4 linked regions of the Caenorhabditis elegans genome follow. The protein of the gene in region 1 purifies or fractionates together with the protein of each later gene. This does not show direct contact. Each region holds a gene or a part of one and is shown in the gene's direction. Other genes may lie near its edges.

Region 1 (7,327 bases):
GAGCGGTCAAGACTAGAGAGACGTAGGTGGTTAGACACATGTTCTTCCCGAATGAAGAAGAATCTCCAAAAAAGACCGGTCCGGAAAGAAAATCTATGAAGCTATTCCAATTCCCATCACTGAATCCATGAACATGGTGGAGGGCTGAGAAGTCAAGCGTGACCGGCAGAAGGACATGGAGATCCGGTGCCTATCGACTAGCCACAACTGGTGAGCGTCGAAGAAGAGAAGATGTTGTGATGAAATTCGAGATTGTCAGCGATAATCGAGAGACTAGGTCAAGTAGTGGAAACGCAGAGAAAGGGGGAGACGATGACGTGGATGCTCTTTAATACAGGTTGAAATAAAGAAAGAAAGAAAGAATAGACTGAAAACATATGAATAAAAACATTATAAATGTCGAAGGAGACAATATGAAAACATGTAGGGAGCGGATGATGGACGGTATTCTAATAGTAATAGTAAACGAATAAAAGAACGATGTGAATCGGGTCAAAACCAAATTAGTTTCGAGTGTCCTTCTGAAGAGGCTAAGGGATTCAAAAGCGGATTTCATGATGATGCGATTACATCTGATCCTACAGTATTTTATACTTTAACTCCATGTGTCACTGTAAAATATCGAGAAACTTGAGAGCAGTGTTGTCTCGATTTACTGAATATATCAGTAAAAATGAATAGAATATTTCTAAATATTGCGAAAAAACTGATAAATTGTGCTTCAATTTATAAAACAAAAACTCAATTAATTCAGCCGGAAATGTCGAAACTAGGTCAATAAAATTCTCTGATTAAAAAACCTATTTTAAAAATTAGAAAAATGCTATGATATTTTACGAGTCGTATTCAGTATAACGATACTGGGTTTGAAATTTAAATAATAAATAAAACCCACAAATTGATCAAAATAATTTCAATGCTTTCAAGTTCATAACTCAAAATTGTCATTAAAAATCGGGTAAGTAAAATAAATGCGGATTTGTATAATTCATGACCGACAAAATAAGGATAAAACTTATTAGCATCATAATGGATGTGTTGAGCGGCGGATGCGGGCGGCACACACTCAAAAGAAGTAAAAGAACATGCATTGTTTATCCGCGGCTCATTCGTCATAACAAGCTCTAATAAAGTAATAAATACCTAATGGACGTGAATAGAACGAAGGAAAAGGACCAAAAAAGGATATGTGACACCTGACGCAAGTGTTCTCTACCGATTTCACTTCGCTTCTGATACACAATTACATTATTTTAGCATCGTGCCTGGGAAATGAAGTCTTTAGGGAATCGTAAAATTTAAACCATCCGTCGTTCTGCACTAATTGATCAAAAGTGAAAGGGCAAGGGAAATTCAGCTAACGAAGCCGAATTTATTTGTCAAACTGAAGCTTAAAAGCATTTTTTGAAAAAACTATAAGCACAAAATAATATTTCTTACAAGTATATTCAATAGAGTTCGAAATTAAACATTCGTGAGGGATGTTCAATCGTCTTTTTATCCGATGGGTAGTACCTGACAGTAACAATAATAACTTAACCTTGAGACCATAAGTGGCAGACGGTGAAAGGATTCGAAGCGCCTAATTGCCATTGGAATCGGGTCATTTGTGTTACTAATGTTCCGGGATACAAAAAAACAGTGAAACGTGTAGACACCCTGATATCAATATTTATAGGAACAAAGTTGAAACTGATACATTTTCTTGAGGGTTTGAGTGGGCCGAAAGATTGCAAAAAAAAAGTCAAAAAGTGAGCGAGTGACTAATGTAAATGGAAACTGTACAAACATACTGAATAGGGAGGGAAGAGGTCAGAATAAAAGAAAACTCTTTCCTATTGTTGCCAGTAATGGACGGTGAGATCCAGAAAAACAGAGAAGGGCGGTGCGGTTTGAATACGAAATACGGAAAACGAGAAAGGGATTGAGAAACAGCTGGCGATCTATACCACAATTAGCATAAATAATAAGAACCTCATTAATGAATATCGTGAGGAAATTTTTTTTTTTTGAAACCTTACTTTGAATATAAATGTGTTTAGCCAAATTTTTGTAATTTTGAGCACACAAAAACGTGCATCGATATTATTAATAAGGTCTATTATCACATCTAGTTGGAGTTTAGAAGGATTTCCCGAATTAAACTGAACAAGCAGTACTAGCGGGTAATATTCTATTCAAAACCTACAGAATCCTGATTCAAATAGTAATTTTTAATCGCCTAGGTGTAATCTAAATAATTATCAACATTTCCATTTACGGAAACAAAGAAAAAAGAAAAAAAAACAACAAAACAAAAAATTAAAATTCAAAAAGTGCCGAAATGAAGAGAGACAGCTGTTGCCTGAAGAGACGCAGCACGCTGGGTCTCGCAGCGATTTGCCCACCGCGACGTTTGCGTACACGGTGGATCGCGCTGTGACATGGAACTTTACAGCAAAATCAACGTTCTTTTCGGGATTTAATTAATTTCTAGCTCGATTTCTAGCTTTTTTATTTTGAAAAATATAAAATAATCTTTATACTTGTTCCAGGATGTCATATCAGCCGCCACCAAACGGGCAAATGCCCGGATATCCTCAACAGCAATTTAACCAACAGCCGCAGTTTCAGTCAAACGGATTTCCCCCTCCAGGTGAGTTTATATGAACATTTGCATAATACAACAATTGTTTTAGCAGCGCCGCAAAAGCCAGCTCAAGTCCCAGGTGGATTTCCTCCACCCCATCAGCAACCAAATGGACAGTATCAAAATGGAGGCTTAAATGGAAATTCGTCTCACTTGGCACAATCTGTGAATAATATGTCTATTGGAGCTAGATCAACTCCGTCAGCACAACCCCCAAGTGAGTTGCTTTTTTTTCGCTAATCCGTTAAGTTTAATTTTAAGATCCGTACCAGCCAGCAGGATATCCCGGAGCTCCACCACAGCAATTGCAACAAGTACAGAGACAGCAAACTCCTCAACAGTTCGCCGCTGTACCTCAAAGTGTTCAAGGTAAATAGTGTTTATAGAGGCAAAGCTAAAACTTCTATTTTAGCTCCTAGTGCCACACCTGCAGGTCCACTTCAAGCAATGCAACAAGCGCCTGCTCCGACTCCGGGAATTCCGCAAATGAACCAAGGAGCTCATCTGCCGCCACAACCACATCAGATCCATCAACCCACTCCGCTTCGACCACAAATCCCTGGTTTTCCACAGGCAGGCGGCTCTCCAAGTTCGTTCCAAGCTGGAGCACCCACTTCACAAAATGTTCAAGGCTACCCAGGTGGACCATCTTCTGCTCCTAGCGCTTACCCAGGTGCTCCACAAGTGCCTCAAGCGCCCAATTCGTTCATCCCACCTGGCACAGGAGGATTTCCACCAGGACAACCCACAGCGGGCTCGTTTCCACCCGGTCCACAAGTTCCAGGATCATATCCCTCTGGCCCAGCAGATATTCCACAAGGCCCAGGCATGCCAAGAGCATTTCCTCCGGGAGCCTCAGCTCCAGTTGCACCAGGGATGCCAGGAGCATTCCCTCCAGGACAAGGAGGACCAGGAATGCCGGGATCATTTCCCCCGGGAGCCCCAGGCCCAGGAGGACCAGGAATGCCAGGATCATTCGCTCCAGGAGCTCCAGGCCCAGGAGGTCCCGGCGGATATCCCTCAGGAGGTCCAGGTATGCCGGGAATGCAAGGTGGATACCCCGGCGGCCCACCACAGCAACGACAACAACGTCTTGATCCTAATATGATGCCAAGTGCTGTTCAAGTTATTGATGATGATTCGTCGACTCGTAGCGGGATCTTCCCAACTGGATATCCGAACGCTGAATTGCCGCCACTTGTTTCTACAAATTCTTTCGCTCAAGATCAAGGAAACTGCAACCCCAAATTTATGAGATCAACCCTCTACACAGCTCCACAGACTAATGACATTTTGAAAGCATCGCAGATTCCGCTCGCCGTTGTCATTTCGCCATTCGCATCTCTGACTGAATATGAGGTTTTTTTTTTAATTTTTCAAAAATGAATAATCAATTATTTTCAATTTCAGAAAGAACCACCAGTCGTCGATCTGGGACCACAAGGACCGATTCGTTGCCAGCGTTGTAAGGCATACATTTGTCCGTTTATGGAATTCCAAGATGGTGGACGCTCCTTCCGTTGTCCATTTTGCCATGCTCGAACTTCTGTCGAAGATGCTTATTTCGCCCATCTCGATCATACAGGCAGAAGAACTGATATTGAAATGCGTCCAGAACTCTGTCTTGGAGCGTATGATCTCGTAGCTACAAAACAATACTGCAAGGTACGTAATTAAAAAAATCGCAATTTTCAAAAATTCTAAGTGACATTTTTAGAATGGAATCGCGCCAAAAGAACCGGCCTTCATATTTATGATTGATGTATCCTACAATGCTATTTCAAACGGAATGCTTCCAATTCTTTGTCAAAATCTGGAGAAAGTACTTCGAAATTTGCCAAGAGAATCTGGACAGCTCGAGTCGTCTATGCGTATAGGATTGGCTACATTCGATCAGGCGGTTCATTTCTTTGACATTTCGTCGGCATCTCCAAAAATGCTCGTAATGTGTAAGTTTGATAAACTTATAAAAATTTGTCTAAATATGTACTGTTTTTAGCTGATGTTCAAGAGCCATTTGTTCCTATGGTCGATGGACTTCTTCTCCCTTACAACGAGGCACTTCCTGGACTTCGTGCCGCATTGGCTGAAATTCCTAAACTCTTTTCGCAGTCGAAAACCACCGAAACCATTCTTCAACCCGTCGTACAAGCCGGTCTTGACGCTTTGAAGTGTGCCGACAGAGCAGGAAAAGTGATTCTGTTTTCAACTGTTCTACCAACATATGATGCACCGGGAAAGCTGAAATCCAAAAATGATCGATCTCTTCTCGGGACAGATAAAGAAAAGAATGCACTGGTTCCACAAGAAGATTCATACACGAAGTTGGGAGAGCAATGTGTCAAGTCAGGAGTTACTGTCGATTTATTCCTCTTCCCAAATGCTTTCATTGATGTTGCCACAATTGGTCAGCTTTCTGCAGTTACGGGAGGATCTATTTTCAAATTTCAGTATTTCTCGGTAAATTTAAAGAAAAACCAATAATTTTATTAATTTTATTTTTATTTCAGGCCGATAAAGACGGTGTTCGCATGTTGAATGAGTTGGAACGACACGTTTCTAAGAAAATTGCATTCGACTGCATGGCAAGAGTAAGAACGTCTACAGGAATTCGTCCTATCACTTTTACTGGCTCCTTTTACATGGAAAACTCAACGGATTTGGAATTGGCTACATTGGATGAAAGCAAAGCATTCATCACAGAAATCAAACATGATGATAGTCTGAAAGATCCAGCTTCCTTCATTCAAACCGCTGTACTGTATACGTCGATGACTGGACAGCGCCGTTTGCGAATTTTGAACTTATGCCTTCCAGTTACTGCTGATTACAACCAAGTTTACCGACTTGCTGATCCGGAAGCATTGACAGCATTCATGTTGAAGCAAGCTGTTCAATTGAATCGTGACAAGGGAAGCTCAGAAATGAGAGAATCACTTTCTTCTCGTTGTGCACAATTCCTAGCGACCTATCGAGAGAAGTGTAGTGAAGGTGCCCCACTTGGACAACTGATTCTTCCTGAATCTCTGAAATTGATGCCGCTCTATGTGAACTCTATTTTGAAAAATGATGCGATCAGTGGAGGAAGTGAAATGACAGTCGACGACAAAGTGTGGCAGATGGAATTGATCCGTGGGCTACGAACTGAAAATGTCATGCCTCTTATTTATCCAAGAGTTATGCCAATCTCTGATCTACAAATCAATGATACTGAAGAAATGAAGGATCTTCCAAAACCTGTTAGAGCGAGTTCTGAGTTCCTGGAAAATTCGAAAGCCTATATTATTGATAACGGTGTTATTCTGTTTGTCTGGGTTGGCTCTGCATGCCCCCAGACATGGGTTCAAGACGTGTTTGGTGTTGGTGCTACAAATCAAATTGATACCGAGAGTGTAAGTTATCAATTGCTACGTTCAATTAGTCAATTACATTTTTCAGGGAACAATTCCGGAAAAAGACAATGGTCATTCACGTGCTCTTCGTCGTGCAATTCAACTTTTGCCACGTGGGATCCGAGAGCGAAAAACGTTCGTTGTCGTGGAAAAAAGCGGCCTTGAGCCATGGATGAAGAAATTTTTAGTGGAAGACAAGGCTGGTCCTGCTAATATGTCATACGTTGATTACCTTGTGGATATCCATCGCAAAATCCGCGATCTCATTTCCTAAGTCGTTGATACTGTGATAGAATTGCTTCTCTTGATTGTTCCCTTTGTTCTTCCTTCATATTATTTTGATCACGCCAAAGCAAATCTTGTGATTAGAAATGTTGGAAGAATTAATATTTTGTACCGGTTTCTTTGTACACATTCATTTCCTTCCCTCTCGCCGTACTATTTTCTTTTAATATTATGGAGCATGGTTTGTAAAAATTAAGATATTAGCTTTCCTAGCACCTTATCAGTGCAAAAATAGAATTTGTTTTATCTGCTTTTTCCCAGATTCCTAATTTATTCTTTTCCAGTTGCTCTCGCGACTTTTAGAGATTTCTATTTATTGTTCCTTTTTTTGTAAAATATCCCCTATTACCCCGTCCATATAATTTATTGTGATTTGAAATGGGATCGAATGTGTTTAATTTGATGGTGTCTTATGAAAATAAAATGTTTTTGATTAAACATTTGAGAATCGAATATGTTGACTTTGTGAATATTATATTTTTGAAATTCACTTCGGTGTAATGTTAACGCGCTCTAACGCAATTTGCCGCGAAATTTCAACATTGACAAATTTGCCTTCTTGAATTGATTTTTTTCTTTATTTTAAGAATGGAAACCGCTTGGTCCAACATCCTAAACTATAAGAATGTCTCAGATCGATACATTCTCACTGAAAAAGATAAAAAAGGTATTTATATTTTGCTCTAAGCTTTAAAAAGTTATTTTCTTTCAGGTGCGTTCACTAGACAGTACTTTGAAGTCTACGAAGCTCGCTTGAAGGAACTGAAACCTCGTATTTTGGAAAATGCAGAACGTGAAATTGGTTAGAATTATAATATTACTAATAAACCTTAATTTTTATCTTCAGGCAAGGGAAAATTCACGCATTCACAATTGAGCGATGCTAAACAAGACGAGGAAATCTTCGTGGTCGGCGTTATTGTAAAGAGAATAGCTGCAAGACCATCAATTTTGAAATCGTTGCTCAACGAGGATAAAGTGGCTTATGATGATTATGAAGAAGATGCCGAAGAAGACGAAG
Region 2 (8,362 bases), 5.0 Mb from region 1:
GAACAAAAAAAAGAAATTTCTTGTACATAAGCTGAAACGGTAATTTAATTTTTTTTTATTTTTAGGATGTTCCCGATGAAACATAATTTAGTGGAGCTCCGTCATGTTCTGGTAGTCCAGCAACATACCTAAAGTATTTTTTGTATTGTTTTTTGTTTTTGGACGAATTTTAATTTTCAGTCGGGGAGTTTAAAACAAAATTCGTAGTTTTTTTTTTTGGTTCTTTTACTAAGATTTTTACTAAATCAAAAACAAATGCCATTTTTATAAAAACTAATTGAAACTGTCAAATTGTAAAAATCTGTTTTTTTTTTCAAACATTGTGATTTAATTACAAACTTGCAGTGCCGTTTACATTCCATATTTGGATTGGATTAGAATTGGATCTTCCATAATAGGTAGGCGCGGTTTCAGGGACCTGACGCCTGCCTCGAATCGCATTTTTACGTTTTTTTCTCATTTCAATAATTTTGTTGAAAATCAAATTAAGATATGAAAAAACAAATAGTTCGTGTATGTTTTAGAATAAGGCGCGTATTGAGGCAAGAGGCAGGCGGAGATCGCCTTAAGGTCAGGCAGGTGGGAATTTGAACGCCTTCATGGAAACCTTAGTTTTTGTAATTAACAAGACATTTTGTAATTTACAGCAAATATCAGAAAAAGATTAATGAGAAATAAGAATGTTCACTAGTACATAGCAGCTAGTTGAAACTGCGATTTTATTTTATAGTCTCACGTTCAATTTGAGCCAAATTTGCGATTCTGAGCTTGAAGTAAAAATTGTGCAGGTGGTTTGGGTATACCGTGAGACTATCCAATAAATTTACAGTTTCAGCGTGTTGTACATAAGAACACGCTGAAACTGTAATTTAATTGGATAGTCTCACGGTCAATTTGACCCGTGTTTCGGGTGTTCCCGTAAGAAACATAATTTTCTAGAGCTCTATCTTGTACTGGAGCTCCTCAGAATCCTGGTGGTCCAGCAGCACACCTGGAGGACTAAAGTGCTGAACTGTTCTCTTAAATGTTCTGTTTTTTTTCGGGCCAAAAACCAAAAGAAAACTATATTTCAAAAAAAAAACTTTTTTATTTTTATTTTTGATCAAAAACTTTTTTTGGTAAGACCTTCCTCCTGTATTTTTTTTCAATTTCAAAAATTCTGCAAGAATTCAAAATGTTGTAATTTTAGTCGCTTCAGTGAGGAAATATAAAACTGCATCTACATAGCAACTAGCTGAAACTGTAATTTTTTATTTCATAGCCTCACGGTTAATTTCCACTAAATTCGCGTTAAATCCAATGTTCTATTTTATAATTTTTTATGGATGCTTTAAGCAAAATTTGGTATTTCTTTTCGAAATTCTTCGGACCAAAAAACAAACAAAAAACAGAAAAAACTGTTTTTCCAAAGATTTTAATTCGTTTTACAGTTTTAACTTACAAATGTGATGTAGGTAGTAAGCAACAAATAAATTGCAGTTTTATAACAACTAGTTGAAACGGTCAAATTTATAAGCTCTGAAAGTTGTGTTTCCAATAAAACTCTTAATATATATCACCGATTTATAACAACTAGCGGAAACAGTAACTAAAAAATTAATTTTATAAATAATTTTAAAGTCCCAATGTTCTATTTTCGAATTCTACCCAATCGCGAGATTCTGCATTCAGATCTTATCATCTTTCTCTTCCAAATACACACACACACACCTTGAAACTAACCAATAAAAATGCAATCATCCGACCGTTTCGTCGTCGTCAAGGATCGTAACCTGGAACCAGAAGACGAGAATCATCAAAACAGAGAATTTTATGGCGGTGATCTATTGGGCGGGAAGGAACATACCACGTGGGAGAAGGGGGAGGAGAAGTCGAACATTCACGAGAAATCTTTCATTGCTGATCAGAATAAGTTCGGTTTTGTTGGCAAATTTTGAGGTTAGTTTTTTGATGAGTGCCGAAATTTTACCGAAATTTGGAATTCGGCAATTGTCAATTTTATGAACTATACCAATAAATTGTATTAAAACTTCTAGAATGCTCTAGAAAAATCTGGAAACTACTAGAATTTTCTAGAACAAAACTGGAAACTTCTAGAAATTTCCAGAGAAATCTATAAACTTCTGTAATTTTCTAGAAAAATGTGGGAACTTTAAGAATTTTTTAGAAAAATCTGGTAACTTCTAGAATTTTCTAGAAATTTTTTTTTAAATTTTATTTTTTAAAAATTACTGTTTCATCACATTGAGAAAATGTTTTTACTGTTGATTTTTCTAATTTCGTATACTGTTGACTCGGTTTGTGAAGACTCAATTTTCCAGCATGAACATCCCATCTCTCTTCGTCGACCCATTCTCTCCGCTCCTCGAGCATCCAACGGAGCAACGTGCCAAGAATGTGGCTCACGCACCAAAGCGTCCGTGTAATCTTACACAGACAGAGAAAATGGTAATAAATTTATCTTTGAAAAGATAAAAAAAATGTACTGTTTCATTAAAAACGTTTAGGCACTTGACTTGGAATTTTTTCTTTTCAAATGAATTTTTTGAAACTGCAAAAACAGTTTCATTGTTTCATTGAGCGCTTTAAAGAAGACTGTGAAACATAATCTTTGACAAGTTGGCTGAAAATGAGCCTAAACTAACAAATTTTTTAGAAAAATTTGGCTAAACTCTGAAATTTTTTGCCTAGTTTTTAATAAAATTAGCTTTTTTTTGTTGCATCAAGAAGTTTAAATGCTACACTGACTAACTAATAGAACTTTTTACAAATTGAAATGCAATATTTGGAACAGTGAACATTTTTACCTTTAATTTTTCAAATCTACTCCTAATTATGGTAAACTATTTGCAATGAGATCAATGTTATAATTTATTGTTCCGACATCTCCCGGGTTGCACAGTGTTCTCTGTGCTCGGCGCAATTTGGGAGATACCAATTAATTGAATGAAGTTGTTGTGCCAATTCTAGTTCAGAAAAAAGTAAGAGAAGACTGTAACAAAATTTACAATTTTTTTGCAATTTTGGAGCAGTTTTTGAAGTCGGTAGGCTATGTAGTTTTCGAGATCAAGAACAATCAAGAAGATCAAGAATCAGATCAAATTTTAATTTAGGAGCTGAAAAGCTGTTGGCTATTAGTTACAAAAGTCTGTTTCACTTACTTGATAAAATACAAGTGGAATTCCAAAATTTATTGTTTCGAACTTCAATGCAGGTCCCAACCAGCTTCAACTATAAAATTCTTCCAGCTCGCCGTCCGCAATGCTCTCCGCTACATTCCAAAAGAGCATCACGTCCTTCTAGCCACCGAGTTCGCTGAAGAGCTCAACACCTATGGACACATCTATGGGTATCGGTTCATGCCAAACTTTGATCTATTCGCGCCGCCCGTCTCGGAGATCGGAGCTCATTGCGAACAAGCATCGGCTATCATTTTGATGATTCTAAACAATTTGGACAAGCGGGTTGCCCAGTTTCCACAGGAATTGGTGACTTATGGAGGAAATGGTCAAGTTTTTAGGTTAGCATGGGAATCTTTCTGAAATGCTTGAGAAATGATATTTCAGCAATTGGATCCAATTCCGTCTGGTTCTTCGTTACCTCTACACAATGACTGACCATCAAACTTTGGTGCTCTATTCCGGACACCCATTGGGCCTATTTCCATCAACCCCGGACTCGCCAAGAATGACTGTTACTAATGGAATGGTAGGCCTTTGGAAACTAGGATGCTTCGTACATTTTGACATTTCAGATGATCCCGAGCTACTCGACAAAGGAGCTGTACGACAAGTATTTTGCATTAGGAGTGACGCAGTACGGACAAATGACTGCTGGAAGTTTCTGTTATATTGGACCACAGGGAATTGTACACGGGACTACGGTAAGCCGTTAAATGGAGTTTGGCATTAAAACACCGTATTACCGTCAAATTTAATGAACACACTAAAACAGTCAAATTTATTTTGGAAAATGGGCAAAGCAGAAGGTTTTCAGTATACAACGGTTTTAGATGGAATTTCAAAGGCAAAAATTCAAGGATTTCAAGATTTTTGTTTTTTTTTCTGAATATGATTCTTGTCATTTATATAATCCAAACTGCACCAATGTAGTAGAGAAGTGACTCAAAGAAAACATGTTATTTCTAATAACTAACTCAGCCCTAAAATATACGGACACTGTGAAACATTAAATTTTTGTAAATTTTATTTTTTTTTTTAAATAGTTATATAATGAACCAAAGCTGAAGTTTTGGCATTAAACACCTTATTACTGCCAGAATATATGAACACACTGAAACAGTAAATTTTATTCTGGGATATGGGCTACACAGAAGGTTTTCAGTATACAACGGTTTCAGATAGTATTTGAATGATTTTTGTTAAGTTTTTGTGTATTATTCTAGTTATTTTATAATCCAAACTCCACCAAAGTAGTAGAGAAGTGGCGTCAAGAAAACTTGATATATTGCTTTAATTTATAGCGGTGTTCTCTTGAAAACCTTCCTAATAGCTAACTCTCTAAGTCCTAAAATATGTAGACACAATGAAACAATAAATTTCTGAAATTTGTAATTTTTTTTTCAAGAGTTACATAATGAACCAAAGCTGATAATATTTTGTCCCACTGAAAAAATTTACTTACTTCAACTAACCACAGTATTTATTAAAGAGTGATAATTTAACAAAAATTTAGTTCCAGACACTTAGAAGATGACAAAATTTTTGATTTTAGCTGAAAATGAGACCTTTTTTATCAGAACTTTGAACCGCCATAACTTTTTTTTTTGAGAAATTTTCAAAATGTCTCGTTACGAAATTCAGTAGTTTTTGGGGAATCTTGGGTCGGAAAAAGCAAAATCTCAGATTTCGGTACTCCACCTTAAATAGAGTCGAATAGCTATCTTACAAAGCCCTAAAATATGTAGAAACTGTGAAAAAATAAATTTTTGTAAATTTTATTTTTATTTTTTCAGTAGTTACATAATGAACCAGAACTGATAACATTTTTTTTTAATTTGAATTTCGTAATTTTCTTAAGGTTTTTCAAAATTGACTTATTAGAAGCAGAAAGTTGAAAGTCTTTTCACTTTATAATATTTTAAAGAAATCTAAATGATTCGAGACCAGATGCAACAGATTACAGCTTTTCTACCCATATAGAAAAATAGTGACGTCACTATATGAGTTTTTCTCGATCTATTCTTCTTGTCCGATTAATTTCATCACAACTCTCCTGAATTTCTGAACCCCCTGAAACAGTAAAAATTCTCCAGATCACAGTCCTCAACGCTGGTCGTCGTATGGGACTGGATTCCCTTGCTGGTAAGGTTTTCGTAACTGCAGGACTTGGAGGAATGAGTGGAGCTCAACCAAAAGCAGCTAAGATTGCTGGATGTATTGGAGTTATTGCGGAAATTAGTGATACTGCATTGTTGAAACGTCATCAACAGGGATGGTTGGATGTATATTCGAAGGATCTTGAGGAAATTGTGAATTGGATTAAAGAGTACAGAGAGAAAAAAGAGGCAATTAGTATTGGATATTTGGGGAATGTTGTTGACTTGTGGTGAGTTTTAGAAAATTTTACTGTTTCAGAAAGTTGTTAAATTTTTTTATGAAAGTGTGAAAGGCGATCTACGGAGCAAGAGGGAAAATAATTAAAGGAAACGAGAAAAGCGGAAAAAATTGTAATACAAATAATATATCTCATAGTTTCGGAACCAAGATTTTTTTTAAATTACAGAATTTTTTACAAAGATTTTTCACAATTAATAAACTTGGTAAAACATTATTCACAAAAATTCTAGACAAAAAACTATGAGTTTTCAAAATTCCAGGGAACGGCTCGCCGAGGAACCGGAATGTCTTGTAGAACTGGGAAGTGACCAAACTTCTCTCCACAATCCATTCCTTGGAGGTTTTTACCCTGCTGGACTCACTTTTGAACAATCCAATCAAATGATGACTTCTGATCCTGTAAAATTCAAAAAACTTGTTCAAAACTCTTTAATCCGCCAAATCGCCGCCATCGACAAGATTGCTGCAAAGGGAATGTACTTCTGGGATTACGGTAATGCTTTCCTTTTGGAATGCCAGAGAGCTGGAGCCAATTTGCTCAGAGAGGATGCTCAGGATGATAAATCGTTTAGATATCCAAGTTATATGCAGGATATTATGGGGTAATAATTATTTGAAAAGAGTACAATTTAAATAAAATAAATTCTGTTTCAGAGACATCTTTTCAATGGGATTTGGACCATTCCGATGGGTTTGTACTTCTGGAAAGCCGGAAGATTTGAGATTGACTGATCAGACAGCATGCAAGATTATTGATGAGTTGAAGGATACTGATGGTGAGTGCTTTTATGTTGTAACAAAAAAATCGACTGTTTCACTATGGCTATATGTATGTTCACTATTTTGAGAAATTTGATGGGTTCAGTGTGTGTATCTTTGAAATTTAGTACTAATCTCATAAAATTGAGCATTTGTTGGCGAGAAATCATATATATGCTGTTTCATATTGTCCATAAAACTGCCGACGAATTTTGACTTTAATTTTTAATATTTGTTAGGAAATTTAGGGATGTGAAGCTGTTGAAAAAAAAAAAGAAAAACGAATAGCCAGTGTAATATTCTTGAAACCGTAAATAACTACTAAATAAAATAGCGTACTGTTTCGAGAAGTTTATATAATTTTCGCTTTTTGAAAGAGGTTATTCCGGAAATATTGCTAAAAAAAAGCAGAAAACTTCTACAATTTCGCATAGTCATTAAAGTATGTTCGATTATTTTATTTTATTAATTTTGCTGAATTAAAAAATAACATATTAAAGGTGGAGTACCGAAATTAGTGACTCTGTTTTCTTAGACCAAAATGAGTCCAAACCTACCGAATTTTGTAATGAGACGTTCTGAAAATTTCTCAAAAAAAAAAGTTATGACGGTTCAAAGTTTTAGAAAATAAGGCCCATTTTCAGCTAAAATCAAAATTTTTTCCAACTTCTCGGTGTCGCAACGTCTGGAATTGAATTTTCATTTATTCATCACTTTTTAATAAATATTGTGGTCATTGATTGGGCGTTTATTCGTTGATTTAACTACATTTATGGTCTTTGGGGCACAAATAAAAGTTACATTTTGTGCCTCACTGACCATAAATGTACTTAAATCAACGAATAAACGCCCAATCAAAGGCCACATTATTTATTAAAAAGAGATGAATAAATAAAAATTCAATTCCAAACGTTGCAACACCGAGAAATTAGATAAAATTTCGATTTTAGCTGAAAATGGGCCTTATTTTCTAAAACTTTGAACCTTCATAACTTTTTTTAAAGAAATTTTCAGAACGTCTCATCACAAAATTCGGTAGTTTTGGGCTCATTTTGTTCTAAAAAAACAGAGTCTCTAATTTCGGTACTCCACCTTTAAGAGTAGAAACATGTAGTTTTAGGGGAACTCATCAGGTTATTTATCAAATTTATGCTTGGAAAAGTTGAAAGTCTACCGAAAATGTCTTTTCCGCTGAAAAAAATTAACATCGTTCCCGGAAACCCGGGATATGTCGTACCATGATGAACAATTCACAAAGTGTCGACCGCAAAGCAAGTATACCAAAACGAGAGATAGGAGATGCGGTTTGAAAACAAGTTGAATTTGAGAATTTTTCACTGTTTCCAACTTTGCATTTTAATTTGTAACGTATTGTATTAGACAATTTGTAAAAAATTATGTTTTTTATTATCTTCAAAATACTATGATCCTGAATGAATTATTTGAAATGGGTACCCTTAACTTTAACAAATATTCGCTCTTAAAAATTCTGAGAAAATTTGCAAAAAATCACCACGTCTTCTTCTTGAATGGGTACCACTGAAAATTAATTGGGTTGTTATTTTTATTCCGAAATATACTCACACTGCTGCCAAGTTTTGAAACTTTCTGTTTCTAGCAGAGACATTGATTTTTTCATTTTGAGAACCAAAAATCGAATCATTATTTTTTGCTAGTTTAATAAGGCTGAGCAAATCAAACCACCAACTCCAAATTTCAAAGCACATTTATCATGTTTCATAGACTCTGTTAAACCAACGTTTCAGTCCCCGAATACGTGAAACAGCAATATTTGGACAACAAGAAATGGATAGAAGAAGCCGAGAAAAATAAGCTCGTCGTTGGCTCACAGGCACGGATTCTATATTCGGATCGTGCTGGAAGAGTTGCATTGGCTTCTGCATTCAATGAGCTCGTGAAATCTGGAAAAGTGTCGGCTGCAATTGTAATTTCAAGAGATCATCATGATGTTTCTGGAACTGATTCTCCATTCCGTGAGACTTCAAATGTTTATGATGGAAGTG
Region 3 (8,492 bases), on another chromosome or scaffold:
GAATCTAAAATCTTCCGCCAGAATCTCATTAATTCGAGTAATAGTTGGATATTTGGACATGTCGACTTTGTAGCTGGAAATTTCAAAATTTTTAATTTAAAAATTCAAAATTTTGAAATAACCTACATTTTCGCATTATAAATTATCGATGGCAAGTTGATATCAGCAATTGTAAGCTGATCTCCAACACAATATTTCCCAGAATGCTTCTTCAAAAGTTCTTCGAGAGCTAAGAATCCCTTGTTCACAAAGTGATTGCACCACTGAAATACATTTTGAACTATCGGGAAACGCCTCTTGGAACCTATTGCGGTTTGATCTACAAAAAATGCGGAAATTTTTTTCACCGATAAAATGTGACGTCAGCAGCACGTTCTAGAAGTCTGCGTCTCTTCTCCCGCATTTTTTGTAGATCTAGGTAGATCAACCCGACATGGGACACTCTGACACCACGTGAGAACCCACAAAGTCACCGTATCCCGGCTCCTTTTCATTGAGCATTTTGTGGATATTGATTGCTTGAAGTGGCTGAATACTTGCGACTATCTGAAAAGAGCTCGCTTAGAGTTGTTAAAGAATGTTAAAAGCTCACATGAAGTGCGATAGCTCTTGAATACGATCTCTTATCCAATTCTTTTGGAAGGAACGGAGGATCCGGATAGGCTTCATCCAAATATTCGATTATTGCCAAGCTTTCTGTCAGTGATAAGCCATTTATCACTAAAGTTGGAACTTTTTTCGCTGGGTTGTGCTTGACGAACTCTGCATTGTTCTGAAATACAGCTATATTTCTATGGAAGTGGGAGTAGGGCAGGGGTGGATGGCAAATTGCCGGTTTGCCGGAAATTTTCAATTCCGGCAATTTACCGATTTACCGTTTGCCGAATTTTACCGATTAAAATTGAAATTCTGAAATTTCCAGAAAAAAATGTGCAAAACCACAAGTTGCCGAAAGTTTTCGGCAAATTGTGTTTTTCCGGCAAATCAGCGATTTGCCGTTCTGCCGAATTTTGCCAGAAATTTTCAATTCCGGCAATTTTCCAATTTACCGGAAATTTTCAATTCTAGCAATTTGCTGGAAATTTCAATTCAGGCAATATGCCGAATTTGCCGAAAATTTTCAATTCCGGCAATTTTCCAATTTGCCCGAAAATTTTGATTTTCATTAAATTTTCGATTTGCCGGAAATTGTAATTTTGGGCAAATTGCCGATTTACCGTTGCCAAAAGTTTTCGACAAATTGTGGTTTTTTCCGGCAAATCGGCAATTTGCCGCTAGGCCGAATTTTGCCGGAAATTTAAATTTCGGCACTTTGCCGATTTGCCGAAAATTTTCAATCCCGGCAATTTGCCGCTCTGGCGAATTTTGCCGGAAATTTTCAATTCCGGCAATTTTCCAATTTGCCGGAAATTTTCTAACCTTGGATTCTTCAGAAAATAAGTCGATTGGCCGGTATTCGTAGTCGATATTTTTCAGAGCAAGTGCTATAAATCAGTATTTTATAGAATTTCCAAGCTAAAATTACCGATGCGAACTCTCCAGGCACACGACGAACGCCAATATGAATATAAAATCGGTTTTGCCATGGAGTTAGAAGCTTCTAAAGAAGAAAATTGAAATATTTAAGCAATAAATGACATTTTGAGAAGAAATTAAATATGAACACGTGGGAAAAATCTTCAAAAACCCTAATTTTTCAGTTAAAAACTACTTTCTCCGAATAAAACCTCCATTTTCCTCAATTTTCAGCACTTTTTTATGTCAATTCCCACTTAAAATTCCCCTTTAACGGTCATTTTTCCTAAACTGTGCAGTTTCGCGTCGCCGTGTTTGCACACATTCCGTTTGATGCGCAGGTTTCCACGTTGTCCTCTTTTCTCCATTTTCTGTCTCTTTTAACGTGGATTTACCGATTTTTATCTCTGAAATTCTTAATTTTTATGGTATTTTTCGTAGTTTCTTTATCAATTTAATCGAAATTCCAAGTTTTTTCATTGATTTTTTGCATTTTTGTCTGTTTTTTTTAAACATTCTTATATATCCACGTGTCATTTCCATAATTTCAGAACCTTCATTCACGCCGAGGAGCAGTTTTTGACTGGTTACCGACTATAAATCGGATATCATGTCGCTCCTTATCAAATTTGAATCAAAATCCGCTAGGGTTAAAGGTAAATATTTTGGTTTTTGGCATTATTTTTCAATAATTTCCCAATTTTCCAGGAATTTCGTTCCACCCAACTCGGCCATGGGTGCTCACATCGCTGCACAGTGGAGTCATTCAACTCTGGGACTACCGAATGTGCGTTCTTCTCGAGAAGTTCGACGAGCACGATGGTCCAGTGAGAGGAATTTGCTTCCATCATGATCAGCCGATCTTTGTGTCTGGAGGAGATGATTATAAGATTAAAGTGTGGAATTACAAGCAGAAACGCTGTATTTTCACACTTCTCGGACATTTGGATTATATTCGTACCACTTTCTTCCATCATAAGTATCCATGGATCATTTCTGCGTCCGACGATCAAACGGTTCGGATTTGGAATTGGCAGAGCCGAAACTCGATCGCCATCCTCACCGGACACAATCACTACGTCATGTGTGCTCAATTCCACCCAACCGAAGATCTTGTGGCTTCTGCCTCCTTGGATCAGACCGTCCGTGTTTGGGATATTTCTGGACTTCGGAAGAAGCAAATGCCTGGTGGAGGTGCTCCAAGCCGGCCAACCGGAGGGCAACAAGCTGAGCTATTCGGGCAACCTGATGCAGTTGTGAAGCATGTGCTAGAGGGACACGATCGTGGAGTCAACTGGGTTGCATTCCATCATACCAATCCAATTCTAGTCTCGGGATCCGATGATCGTCAAGTCAAGATTTGGCGTTACAATGAGACGAAAGCCTGGGAGCTCGACTCGTGCCGTGGACACTACAATAACGTCTCATCTGTGATCTTCCATCCAAATGCTGACTTGATTCTTTCCAACTCGGAGGATAAGTCGATTCGTGTGTGGGATATGCAGAAGCGTACCAGTCTTCACGTTTTCCGACATGAAAATGAGCGTTTCTGGGTTTTGGCCGCCCATCCAAGCTTGAACATGTTCGCCGCAGGACATGACAATGGAATGGTCGTTTTTAAAATTCAAAGAGAACGCCCGGCTTATTGTGTCAGTGATAATTTGGTTTTCTATGTGAAGGGACAACAAATTCGCAAGCTCGATTTGACAACCAAGTGAGTAGTTTGATGCCAAGAAAAGTGTGCCGCAAAATGCATTTTTGCACAGAATTAGCGTTTTTTTTTTGCGAAAAAAAGCGTGCGAGAGTTGCGAAAATGCATTTTCCGGCGCACTGAATCATGTTTTTGTGGAGTCTCAGTAGTTTTTAAATGAAAAACTTTAAATGTGCCCCATTAAGCGAATTTCGTATTTAGAGCCTCCAAAAAATCGGAAAAAAGGCGTAATTTCAATAGCTAAATTCTCCAACTTCCACTGAAAATAGCAGAGTTTTTTTTGAGATTTATCAAATTTTTAGCTTTTCAAAAAATGTTTTCTGCTTTTTACGAACAAATCTTTTGTTAAACAATGAAAATCGAATTTAAAATGACTAAAATTAACTTTTTCCGTCCACTGGTTGTGAAATGGGTTGAAATTGAAGAAATCAACGGGATTTTTCTGATTTTCTGAATATTTTTCTATTAGAAATCGGTTTTAAACCATTTTTTTTTACTAAAACCGATTTTTAATAGGAGAATATTTAGAAAATGAGAAAAATCCCGTTGATTTCTTCAATTTCAACCCATTTCACAACCAGTGGACGAAAAAAGTTAATTTTAGTCATTTTAAATTCGATTTTCACTGTTTAACAGAAGGTTTGTTCGTAAAATGCAGGAAAAAAATTTTTAAAGCTAAAAATTTGATAAATCTAAAAAATCTGTTATTTTCAGTACGAAGTTGGAGATCTTAGCTAAATTTAGAGCTTTTCTCCGGAAATTTTGAGGACTCTCACTACAAAATTCGTTATTTTTTGTACATTCAGAGGGGATGTACAAGCAAAAACCCCTCTAAAATCAAATTTTCAGCAAGGATGTTGCTCTGTGCAAGCTCCGTTACCCACAACCATTCATGCAACCATACTACTCTCTTTCCTTCAATCCTGCCGAGGGAACCTTCCTTCTCACAAGCCGTACTCACAATAAGGATCTATGCGCCTTTGAGCTGTACAAAGTTGCCAGTAACTCTGATGGAACCACTGAAGCTGCGTGCGTCAAGAGCACCGGAATCAATGCACTTTGGGTTGCTCGTAATCGTTTTGCAGTTCTTGACAAGGCTCAGAATGTGTCGTTGCGTGATTTGACGAACAAGGAACTTCGCAAACTCGAGAATATCAACACGGCTGTCGACGATATTTTCTATGCCGGAACTGGAATGCTCCTTTTGAGAAATGATGATGGGCTTCAACTGTTTGATGTTCAGCAAAAGATTGTGACTGCTTCAGTGAAAGTGTCGAAAGTTCGTTATGTGATTTGGAGCAAGTCTATGGAATTCGCAGCTCTTCTTTCAAAGCACACGCTGACCTTGGTCAACCGTAAATTGGAGATTCTGTGTACCCAACAGGAGTCGACTCGTGTGAAGAGTGGAGCTTGGGATGATGACTCGGTATTCCTCTACACCACTAGCAATCACATCAAATATGCAATCAATTCTGGAGATTGTGGAATCGTTCGTACTCTGGATCTTCCTCTGTACATTCTGGCTATTCGAGGAAACGTGCTCTACTGCTTGAATCGTGACGCTACACCAGTTGAAGTTCCAATTGATAATTCTGATTACAAGTTTAAGCTTGCTTTGATTAACAAACGAATCGATGAAGTTGTCAACATGGTTCGATCCGCAAATCTCGTCGGTCAATCCATCATTGGATATCTCGAGAAAAAGGGTTACCCAGAGATTGCTCTTCACTTTGTCAAGGATGAGAAGACTCGCTTCGGGTTGGCAATTGAATGTGGAAACCTGGAAATCGCGTTGGAAGCCGCCAAGAAGCTCGACGAGCCAGCAGTCTGGGAGGCTCTCGGAGAGACTGCTCTTCTTCAAGGCAATCATCAAATTGTTGAGATGAGCTATCAACGAACGAAAAACTTTGAGAAGCTCTCGTTTTTGTATTTTGTTACTGGAAATACGGATAAGCTTGTCAAGATGATGAAGATTGCACAGGCTAGAAATGATGCTCACGGACATTTCCAGACAGCTCTCTACACTGGTGATGTTGAGGAGAGAGTTAAAGGTAAAAATGTGCAGCTGGATTTCAGAAGGGGGCAAAAGTCAAAGTTTTATTGATTTTTAGCTCCTCTTTGCGTATTTTTTTCGTGAATTTCTGCAAATTCTAGACGATTTTGAAATTATTGAACCTAAAAATGGTCCAAATCTACCGAATATCGTCATGAGATTTCTCAAAAAAAAATTTGGAAATCTACCAATTTTCAGCTAAAATCTCATATTTTGCCAACTTTTCAGTTTCGCAGCTGACGGAACTTGATTTTTATTCAATTATCGCTATTTAATACGTATTTTGGTCGTTTTAACGAATAAAAGTGTGATAGACGACCAAAATATGTATTAAAAAGTAATAATCAATGACACACTAAAGTTGGCAAAATTTGAGATTTTAGCTGAAAATAGGTTTTTTTCCAAATCTCAAAACCGCCATAACTTTTTTTGTGAGTTTTCAGAAACTTTTCAGGATTTTTCATGACGAAATTCGTTACTTTTTGGGTCATTTTCAACAAAATAAAGTATAAAGTTAATTTTTCAGTGCTCCGAAACTGTGGACAAACTTCTCTGGCCTACCTCGCCGCAGCCACTCATGGATATTCTGCTGAAGCTGAGGAGTTGAAGGCTGAACTCGAGAGTCGTCAGCAACCAATCCCACCAGTTGATCCAAATGCTCGCCTCCTTGTCCCACCACCACCAGTTGCTCGTTTAGAAGAGAATTGGCCACTTCTTGCCTCGGCTCGAGGAACTTTCGATGCACAGCTTCTTGGATTAGGAGGACAATCTGCTCCAACTAATGTTGGCGGTGTGAAGCCTGCTGCTGCTGCCTTTGCTGTTATGGATGATGATGTTAGTTTATTGATTTCTGAGCTATCTGAGCTATAAAATATTAATTTTTGCAGGATGGTGATGTTGGAAATGAAGCATGGGGAGATGATGAGTATCTTGTCGGAGAAGATGGTGAACTTGATGTTGATGAAGGAGAAGGACCAGTTGATGGAGATGAGGAAGGTGGATGGGATGTGGATGATGATCTGGCTCTTCCTGATGTTACCGATGATCAAGGTGGAGATGATGATGAGGAAGTGGTTCCTAACCCAGCTCCAGCTGTCTCATCGGAATGGCCGAATGTTTCTCGTCTTGCTGCTGATCATGTTGCAGCTGGTTCATTCGGAACTGCCATCAAGCTTCTTCATGATACAATTGGAGTCGTTGAAGCAGCACCATTCAAGGATGTATTCGTGAAGGCTTATGCAGCTTCTAGACTCTCACATCGTGGATGGGGAGGACTCGGACCAGCTGGACCAGTGTCCATTCATCCGGTTCGTAATTTCCAGGAGGATAAGAATCATCTTCCAGTCGCTGCGTTCAAACTTTCTCAACTTGCAAAGAAACTGCAAAAGGCTTATCAAATGACGACGAATGGAAAGTTTGGAGATGCTGTCGAGAAACTGCGGGAGATTCTTCTATCTGTTCCACTGATCGTTGTGTCTTCGAAACAAGAAGTCGCCGAAGCGGAGCAGCTCATCACAATCACACGGGAATATCTTGCAGCACTTCTCCTTGAAACTTATCGAAAAGATTTGCCAAAAACGAATTTGGAGGATGCGAAACGCAACGCCGAACTAGCTGCCTACTTTACACACTTTGAGCTTCAACCAATGCATCGTATCCTGACACTGAGATCTGCTATCAATACTTTCTTCAAAATGAAGCAAATGAAGACTTGTGCATCACTTTGCAAACGTCTATTGGAGCTCGGTACGTGCTTGCGTTGTTGATTTTTTTAAATTTTATTTCTAATTCTTAATTTTTTTTTCCAGCTCCAAAACCAGAAGTTGCTGCTCAAATCCGAAAAGTGCTGACTGCCGCCGAGAAGGATAACACTGACGCGCATCAGTTGACCTATGATGAGCATAATCCATTCGTCGTGTGCTCTCGTCAATTTGTGCCTCTTTACCGTGGACGTCCACTCTGTAAATGCCCGTATTGTGGAGCATCGTACTCTGAAGGGCTCGAGGGAGAAGTGTGCAACGTGTGCCAGGTTGCAGAAGTTGGAAAGAATGTTCTTGGGCTCCGAATCTCAACTCTGAAGAGCTAAAAGTTGTGAAATATGATAATTTTTTCGTTTTTTGTGTGATATTAATTATTGTAATTTATTTGCCTTGTTCTTCCACAATTCCCATTGCTTTTGGTCCCTTCATATTATTTTCCCGTTGGGCGGCGGTTCATGTTTTCTATTTAAATTATGTGTTTTTAAAAATTATTTAAACCCCACAGAAAGATTATGATTGCATGCTGGTCTATTTTATTTGAATAAATCATGATTTTTTTACTTTTTTTCATTTATCTTTGGGGTAAGAAAATGTTCTCTAAATCAGTAATTTACATGGAGAAATTTGCTCGAAAAAATTCAAAAAAAATACAGTAAGAAAATTGTCGTAAAGTCTAGGGTTTTGGTATTGCGGACTACGACAAAATGCACACAAACCATTTTGGCACCGGAAAAAGGCAAAAGCCAGGATTTTATCGCGTTTTGGCTCATTTTTCTTGCAAATTTCCATGGAATTCAGTTAACATATACCTAATTATTCAGTTATTTCGAATTAATCAATAATTTTCAGTGAATTTCGCAATTTCTAAGTGGTCCAATGATGTCTGTCCACATATTTCCTTGAAAACTGATTGTTTTATCGGAATTTATTGATTTAAAATAATATATATAATAAAATCTGAATTTTAGAATCATTTTTGACGTGGAAAAGACCCGAAAAATCCAAAAATCACGAATAAACTGAACAATTAAGGTATTAATTTTTGATCCCCCACCCCCAGTTTCTCAGTTTCTCAGCAAAGGATTAAAACAATTGTTCTTCTTCTTTTCCCCCTACAAGAATTTCCTGTGAATTTCAATCGTAAAAATATCGATTTTCTGTTTATTCTTTGGATGAGTCACCGCACTCGCCGATTGTTTAACTAGTGCAGTTCGGCAGTTTTACGTTATTTTTTCACGATTTTTTGGATTCTGATCCTCTAGGTGACTTGAAAATACCGAATTTCATATCGTAATATGACAGAAAAATTTATGGCGGTAAAAAAATGCGGAAAAATTTTCTAATTTTAACGGAAAACTCCAAAAAGCCGTTGGAAAATGATTTTTATTTGATATTGGCATATTTAAATAATTTTTATCCTGTTTTTTAGTGGATTTGGATATTTTAACCCGAT
Region 4 (6,178 bases), on another chromosome or scaffold:
CTATTATTGAGGTCACCATTGGTGTCCTTATTGATTCAGATAGTATCTCCTCTATTACACGAAGACACCCCTTCTTCTATCGTTTGAGAGAATCAAAAAAAAAAGAAACCAACTATTCATCTCCACTTACTTTTTGATTCTCGTACACTATGTAGAATATAGCCAACTAATGATAACATGATAAAATCTAATTTTTTATTTCAGTTTCTGCTCTCTTCAAGTGTGCCGGTCGCTTCGTAATTATTTGGGTGTTAAGTATTCCGCTTCAGATCCATCATTTTGCAAACTGACACTTATTGAAATGTCGGACTATTACAAAACTCCACAACTCTTCTGGTGGCTCCTCATTGTTCCAGCTCTGGCTATCAACTACGTAAGTTTTAAGGTTTCAAGTGAAAAAAAACTATGTTTGATAAAAATAGATATTTCAAAGCTTCCACTTCGATCTATATCTTTGATTTTTAGATTTCTTACGCCCATCCAGCAGCAGCACTTAATATTCCATTAATTGGATCTCTCGTCCATAAGATTGGAACTGAGTATCCATTTGTTGCTCTTTTAACCAACCTTTTCGCCCTTGTAGCACACGCCGGTGAAGCTCTTTACGCTCTTTATCTCTGCCATAAAGCCAATATCAGGTGAACTTTTTCAGTTGATTTTATAACAAATTGTATTTTCAGTTTTGCTTCTACCGCAAAATGGGTTGTCCAAACGTTTATTCTTGGTTTCCCGTCACTCTCTATTCTCAGTCGATACGAAGCCAAGCAGAGGAAGAATAATTGACTAGTAGTTGAAAATGTGTCTGATAGTTCCTAAAATGTATTAATTTTGTTTTTTTTTGCCAATGCAATGAACGACCATTTATTATCAAATAAAATGAAGAAACTCAACGAAACATTCTCAAATAAACAACATGTCGAGAGAAAGGCCAGTGTGTGCAAAGACGCAGAGAAGATCACTGCAAACGCGCTCCGTTGAGGTTGCTGTGTGAGATATCTTGGACAACCCCGCGCATTATTGGACTGTTTTTTGTTGTTTTATTGATCATGTAGTGGTCAATGAGCAGGTCATTCTTGCCTTCGCTGTTGCCAGAGAAGGTCGGCTTTTTTCTTCCCTGTTTTTGGTGATTTTGCCGTTTTTTTTTGTGTATTGAGTGTACTTACTGTGTGAGTCTTTAGATTTTCCGTTTCACGCATACACGTTTTTTGTAAAATTATTAGTTTTTGTAGGACTCTCGGTTCAAAAATTATAGAAAACGTGCAGACTGGACTATGAATTATATTCGAAGTTCTTCATTGTAACATTGTGAGGTCGTCTTTCCAACTCTCAACCTATCCCGGTGATTTTCTCGGTTTCTCTGCGTGTGTGTGTTCAGAGGACGAATACGTGCAAAATCGCAAGAAATGGGCAAAGAGAGAGAGCGGGGCAACTGCGCTTTGGGTCCATCAGAAAAGAGAGATAGACAACTTTTGTGAAAATCTTGTTGCGGGACAAGGGCACCGCACTTCTTGCTTTTCTCTTTTCTGGCCAGGCTATTTACTTCGTTGCTCAGTTGCCATTTCTGCATGTTTTTCTTATTTTTTCTACTAGTCGAAGTTTTCCTTCATAATCAATATAAAGAGAGTTTTCAAGGCATCGCTGTTTATCACTTAACTGACCAAATCAAATCGGTCGTCCTTATCTTTCTCCATCGAAGTTATACACGAAACTGTTTTTCTCCATCATCTTACTTTTTTCTTTTGTGAACTGCTGATGTCGTTGTTCATTTTATCATGAAAATCATTGTTTTTAGGTTGAACCATGCTCCGTGCTGCATCCAGTATCCGCGCTGTGGCCAATCGTGGATTGGCAACTGCTGCTGTTGCCAGACCAGGAGTGTAAGTTTCTGAAAGTTGTATTCGGTTTTGAGATCAATAGGTTCAATTTCAGACCACTTGATGAACGTGAGGGAAAGGAGATTTACACTACTGTAGGAATCGATTACAATGAGCCAAAGTTCGACAAGATTTTGATTGCCAATAGAGGTAATCTCAAGCATCTAAAAGAATCTTAGATTTAATCGTCTATTTTACAGGAGAGATTGCGTGTCGCGTGATCAAAACTGCCAGAGCTATGGGAATCAAGACAGTGGCCGTTCACTCAGATGTCGACAGCAACTCGCTTCACGTAAAGATGGCCGATGAGGCTGTATGTGTTGGAGAAGCTCCAACTGCCAAATCCTACCTACGTGCTGACCGCATCTTGCAAGCTGTCGAGGACACCGGTGCTCAAGCGGTAAGAATTCTAACGTGTCTATGTAATGGAAGGATAAACCGCAAAAATCAAATATCAGAGGAGAATGTAAATTCTGTGGCATGAATCTACATGCACAGTAGCACAAACATATTACCCAGACATCCGACAGAGAATAGAGTTTTTGCAAAAGTTCAGAACACCGCTCCAAATCAACTACTACTGTTCAAGAAGTCAGAGCGTTCGCGCTTAACTTCAAACGGAGAGAATAGCTTAAAAAAGTTGCTGACTGAAAAAATGTGAAATAAAACATTCCCTACATTTTGATAATGCTCAATTTTTTCATGCTCATATCACCTGGCTGAGATATGAGGGTTTGAAGTGATGAAGCTCTAGAGTTCCCTCTTATGGCCTGTTGAAAACTGTGGTGAGGTCAAATTATGAAAAGCACGAATTACCGCATTTTTCAGAGGACAAGCTAGGGTCAAACAGTTTGACAACCCGAGCGAGAGCTTTTGGCTGTGTAGCAGCTTAAGATTTACCGTAATATATTAGAAACCAGTTACTTGTAATATGCACGTGATATTCACCTACTTTCACTACGAAACACAACAAAACAAAAATTCTGTGACAAGTGACCAAGTGGTCTCTTTCCAGTCTCTAGCATCTCGCGTGTTTCATTTTCAAATAGTCAAAGTCAAATGACGAGAGATAGATTGCAAGTGTCTTCTGTTATGTTTTTCAAACAGAACTGCTAAAAACGTTGAAAACATATATTTGCAGGTTCATCCAGGATATGGATTCCTTTCCGAGAACACCAAGTTTGCCGCCGAGCTTGAGAAGGCTGGAGCCAAGTTCATCGGACCAAACTCTAAGGCTATTCTTGATATGGGAGACAAGATTCATTCAAAGAAAATCGCTACCGCAGCCCGTGTCAGCATGATTCCAGGATATGACGGAGAAATTGCTGATGAGGATATGTGCGTGAAAGTCTCCCGCGACATTGGATACCCAGTCATGATCAAGGCTTCTGCCGGTGGTGGTGGAAAAGGAATGCGAGTTGCCTGGAACGACAAGCAAGCTCGTGAAGGATACCGTTTGTCCAAGCAAGAAGCAGCTTCTTCTTTCGGAGATGATCGAATGCTCGTTGAGAAGTTCATTGACAACCCACGGCACATTGAGATGCAGGTGCTCTGCGACAAGCATGGAAACGCTTTGTGGCTCAACGAGCGTGAATGCTCCATTCAGAGAAGAAACCAGAAGGTTATCGAAGAGGCTCCAAGCAGCTTTGTGCCACCAGAGATGAGACGCAAAATGGGAGAACAGGCCGTTCAGCTCGCCAAGGCTGTCGGTTATGACTCTGCTGGAACCGTCGAATTCCTCGTTGATTCTCAGAGAAACTTCTACTTCTTGGAGATGAACACTCGTCTTCAGGTAATATCTCAGTATGGCCTAAATGTTTAATTTTTAAATACTCACAGGTCGAGCATCCAATTACCGAGTGCATCACTGGAATCGATATTGTCCAACAGATGCTTCGCGTTTCCTACGGTCACCCACTTCCAATCACCCAAGAGCAAGTGCCACTCAACGGATGGGCTTTCGAGTCTCGTGTCTACGCCGAGGATCCATACAAGGGATTCGGTCTTCCATCAGTCGGACGTCTCTCCAGATATGTTGAGCCAAAACACGTCGACGGAGTTCGTTGCGACTCTGGAATCCGTGAGGGATCGGAAATCTCTATCTACTACGATCCACTTATCTGCAAGGTAAAGGATAAATTAGCATTTAGATAATTTCAAGTGACTTACTTTGTAATTTCAGCTCGTTACGCACGGAGACAACCGTGAACAGGCTCTGAACCGCATGCAAGAGGCTCTCGACAACTACGTCATTCGTGGAGTCACTCACAACATTCCACTTCTTCGTGATATTGTCCAAGAGAAGAGATTCCGTACTGGAGACATTACCACCAAATATCTTCCAGAAGTGTACCCAGAAGGCTTCCAGGGAACCAGCCTCTCACCAAAAGAGCAAGACGTTGTCATTGCCTTTGCCTCGGCTCTCAACGCTCGTAAACTTGCTCGTGCCAATCAATTCTTGAACCAGAACAAACAACGTAGCACTCATGTGGCTTCCTTCTCGAAGACCTACAAGTTCGTGTCTTCTCTGCCAGTGAAGGAGGGTGAGAGGCCAACCGAGCACGCTGTTGAAGTCGAATTTGTCGAAGGAAGCGCCAACAAGGCCCAAGTTCGTATTGGTGGAAAGACTGTGACTATCAGTGGAGATCTCAACTTGTCTCATCCAGTCAACTCAATTGAAGTCGATGGAGAGCACATCACCACCCAAATTGTTGGCAAGCGCGCCGGAGAGATCACCGTTCTTTACAAGGGAACTCCATTCAAGGTCAAGGTGCTTCCAGAGCAGGCCGTCAAGTACTTGCAGTACATGAAGGAGAAGGCCAAGGTTGACTTGTCCACAGTTGTGCTCTCACCAATGCCAGGAGCAATCAAGAACGTCAACGTTAAGGTAACATTATTTTATCACTACCATTAGATGTGCTAAAACTGATTCAATTTACAGCCAGGAGATATGGTTTCCGAGGGACAAGAGTTAGTTGTCATGGAGGCTATGAAGATGCAGAACAGTCTTCATGCTGGAAAGACCGGACGCGTCAAGGCCGTCAATGTGAAGGTTGGAGCCACAGTCGACGAGGGAGAGGTGCTCGTTGAGCTCGAGTAGATTATTCTCACTGAACCTGAATTTTTTTTGTTGTTTTAATTACCGTTTTTTTCCTAATTTTGTACAATTCAAAGCCGCCACTATCTGGTATGGAGATTGATAATTTCATTCGCAGTTTCTCAAATTTCAAGCCATATTTATATTTTATTTTTGATGCCATTACCCTCACCTGTTGTATTCCAATCATCACGGACGTATTTCTCAGCCACCACCCTGTTTTGTTGCCCCAAGTATTATGTAGTGAATAAATATTGTAGAAGGCATTGCAAAAAGGTTGTTATATGAAGAAAAAAAAGCATTTGCTCATTTTTTGAACTTTTCAATTAGAAAATTATATATCTATTCTGTTTCTACATAACATAAGTGCAGATGTTTTGTTGATTAAATTTTCTATTTTTTGTGAAATAGCTTGTGTAAACTAAACATTTTACCATAGTCCATAATTGAAGCTCGGAAATAAGCGTTGTGAAAAAACTTGTCAGTTTGCAAATCTGTTTTAAAAATTTCAGATTTCTCTTTTTTATGTTCTTCTTTCATGTATCTCAATTTCAAAATATTGAATAGCAGTGCCAATTGATTATTCTGAAAGAAAATTGACAAAAAGACGAGTTGAGACGAGAAGATGAAACAGAAAATGATGGGAAGAAGAAAAAGAAGAATTTTTCTTCCAGTTTTTTTTGCCGTTTTCTGTTCTTTTCAATCTCATTTTAACTCACGTTTTTTGGTTTCGTGTGAGTAGTGTCACACTGATATTGTTAAATTCTGTTAACTTCTAGTTGAGAAAATAAATAATGTCAATATTTTAATAAAACTTACTTGTAGCACTTTCAGATCTGTAAGATGTCTAGTATCGGTATAAGTAGATACGAAGACGGGGAAGAGAACTGTTGCACAGCCTGCCTTGAATTTATGCATGAACGGAGGAGCCCACCATCATGCGAACACAATTGTGTTGCATGTTTTTATTGTAAGTATAGATTTGATTTTTTTTTGAGTTGAAGCTTGATTATCAATAAAACGAAGTGCTAGTTGAAGTTTTAAACAGTTTAAATCTAACTTTTTCGAAAAAGTGGGTGAGACCCGTCCCTTTCCAATATGTGTTAAATTGATTTCAAATTAAAAAGAGAAGTTTGTTGTATTATAGTATTTAGTCTTGTTATTTTTTTAAAGATGAAAATAGGATCAACAAATGAAAAGGGTTTTG

The links.
Region 2: the proteins of sec-24.1 (region 1) and uroc-1 fractionate together in Caenorhabditis elegans (co-fractionation; one large-scale study listed by BioGRID). This does not show direct contact.
Region 3: the proteins of sec-24.1 (region 1) and copa-1 fractionate together in Caenorhabditis elegans (co-fractionation; one large-scale study listed by BioGRID). This does not show direct contact.
Region 4: the proteins of sec-24.1 (region 1) and pcca-1 fractionate together in Caenorhabditis elegans (co-fractionation; one large-scale study listed by BioGRID). This does not show direct contact.

What each region holds. Positions count from the first base shown.
Region 1 is NC_003282.8:11,561,400-11,568,726, reverse strand, and holds sec-24.1 (Protein transport protein Sec24C), read left to right. Parts: upstream 1-2,532; 5' UTR 2,533-2,535; coding exon 2,536-2,635; intron 2,636-2,678; coding exon 2,679-2,846; intron 2,847-2,890; coding exon 2,891-2,998; intron 2,999-3,041; coding exon 3,042-3,988; intron 3,989-4,039; coding exon 4,040-4,294; intron 4,295-4,346; coding exon 4,347-4,578; intron 4,579-4,628; coding exon 4,629-5,089; intron 5,090-5,139; coding exon 5,140-6,021; intron 6,022-6,067; coding exon 6,068-6,295; 3' UTR 6,296-6,741; downstream 6,742-7,327. Other genes in the region: pold-2 (putative DNA polymerase delta small subunit), read left to right, coding at 6,895-6,973, 7,019-7,108, 7,154-7,327.
Region 2 is NC_003282.8:16,536,283-16,544,644, reverse strand, and holds the start of uroc-1 (putative urocanate hydratase), read left to right. Parts: upstream 1-1,895; 5' UTR 1,896-1,938; intron 1,939-2,277; exon of another isoform or gene 2,278-2,298; intron 2,299-2,321; 5' UTR 2,322-2,322; coding exon 2,323-2,448; intron 2,449-2,726; exon of another isoform or gene 2,727-2,751; intron 2,752-3,191; exon of another isoform or gene 3,192-3,218; intron 3,219-3,248; coding exon 3,249-3,520; intron 3,521-3,566; coding exon 3,567-3,708; intron 3,709-3,754; coding exon 3,755-3,883; intron 3,884-3,887; exon of another isoform or gene 3,888-3,908; intron 3,909-3,919; exon of another isoform or gene 3,920-3,940; intron 3,941-4,236; exon of another isoform or gene 4,237-4,257; intron 4,258-4,487; exon of another isoform or gene 4,488-4,508; intron 4,509-4,874; exon of another isoform or gene 4,875-4,895; intron 4,896-5,194; exon of another isoform or gene 5,195-5,215; intron 5,216-5,275; coding exon 5,276-5,568; intron 5,569-5,635; exon of another isoform or gene 5,636-5,656; intron 5,657-5,839; coding exon 5,840-6,181; intron 6,182-6,233; coding exon 6,234-6,355; intron 6,356-6,435; exon of another isoform or gene 6,436-6,456; intron 6,457-6,560; and 11 more.
Region 3 is NC_003279.8:2,894,435-2,902,926, reverse strand, and holds copa-1 (Coatomer subunit alpha), read left to right. Parts: upstream 1-2,066; 5' UTR 2,067-2,125; coding exon 2,126-2,171; intron 2,172-2,223; coding exon 2,224-3,229; intron 3,230-4,075; coding exon 4,076-5,277; intron 5,278-5,805; coding exon 5,806-6,113; intron 6,114-6,166; coding exon 6,167-7,025; intron 7,026-7,087; coding exon 7,088-7,365; 3' UTR 7,366-7,598; downstream 7,599-8,492. Other genes in the region: gst-43 (maleylacetoacetate isomerase), read right to left, coding at 1-73, 127-263, 466-546, 593-772, 1,420-1,484, 1,526-1,586.
Region 4 is NC_003284.9:7,656,601-7,662,778, reverse strand, and holds pcca-1 (Propionyl-CoA carboxylase alpha chain, mitochondrial), read left to right. Parts: upstream 1-1,792; 5' UTR 1,793-1,800; coding exon 1,801-1,877; intron 1,878-1,929; coding exon 1,930-2,024; intron 2,025-2,074; coding exon 2,075-2,274; intron 2,275-3,015; coding exon 3,016-3,666; intron 3,667-3,713; coding exon 3,714-4,001; intron 4,002-4,056; coding exon 4,057-4,761; intron 4,762-4,815; coding exon 4,816-4,974; 3' UTR 4,975-5,267; downstream 5,268-6,178. Other genes in the region: dhs-29 (NADP-retinol dehydrogenase), read left to right, coding at 205-373, 466-638, 681-783; F27D9.12 (RING-type domain-containing protein), read left to right, coding at 5,815-5,941. UniProt on the Caenorhabditis elegans protein: This is one of the 2 subunits of the biotin-dependent propionyl-CoA carboxylase (PCC), a mitochondrial enzyme involved in the catabolism of odd chain fatty acids, branched-chain amino acids isoleucine, threonine, methionine, and valine and other metabolites.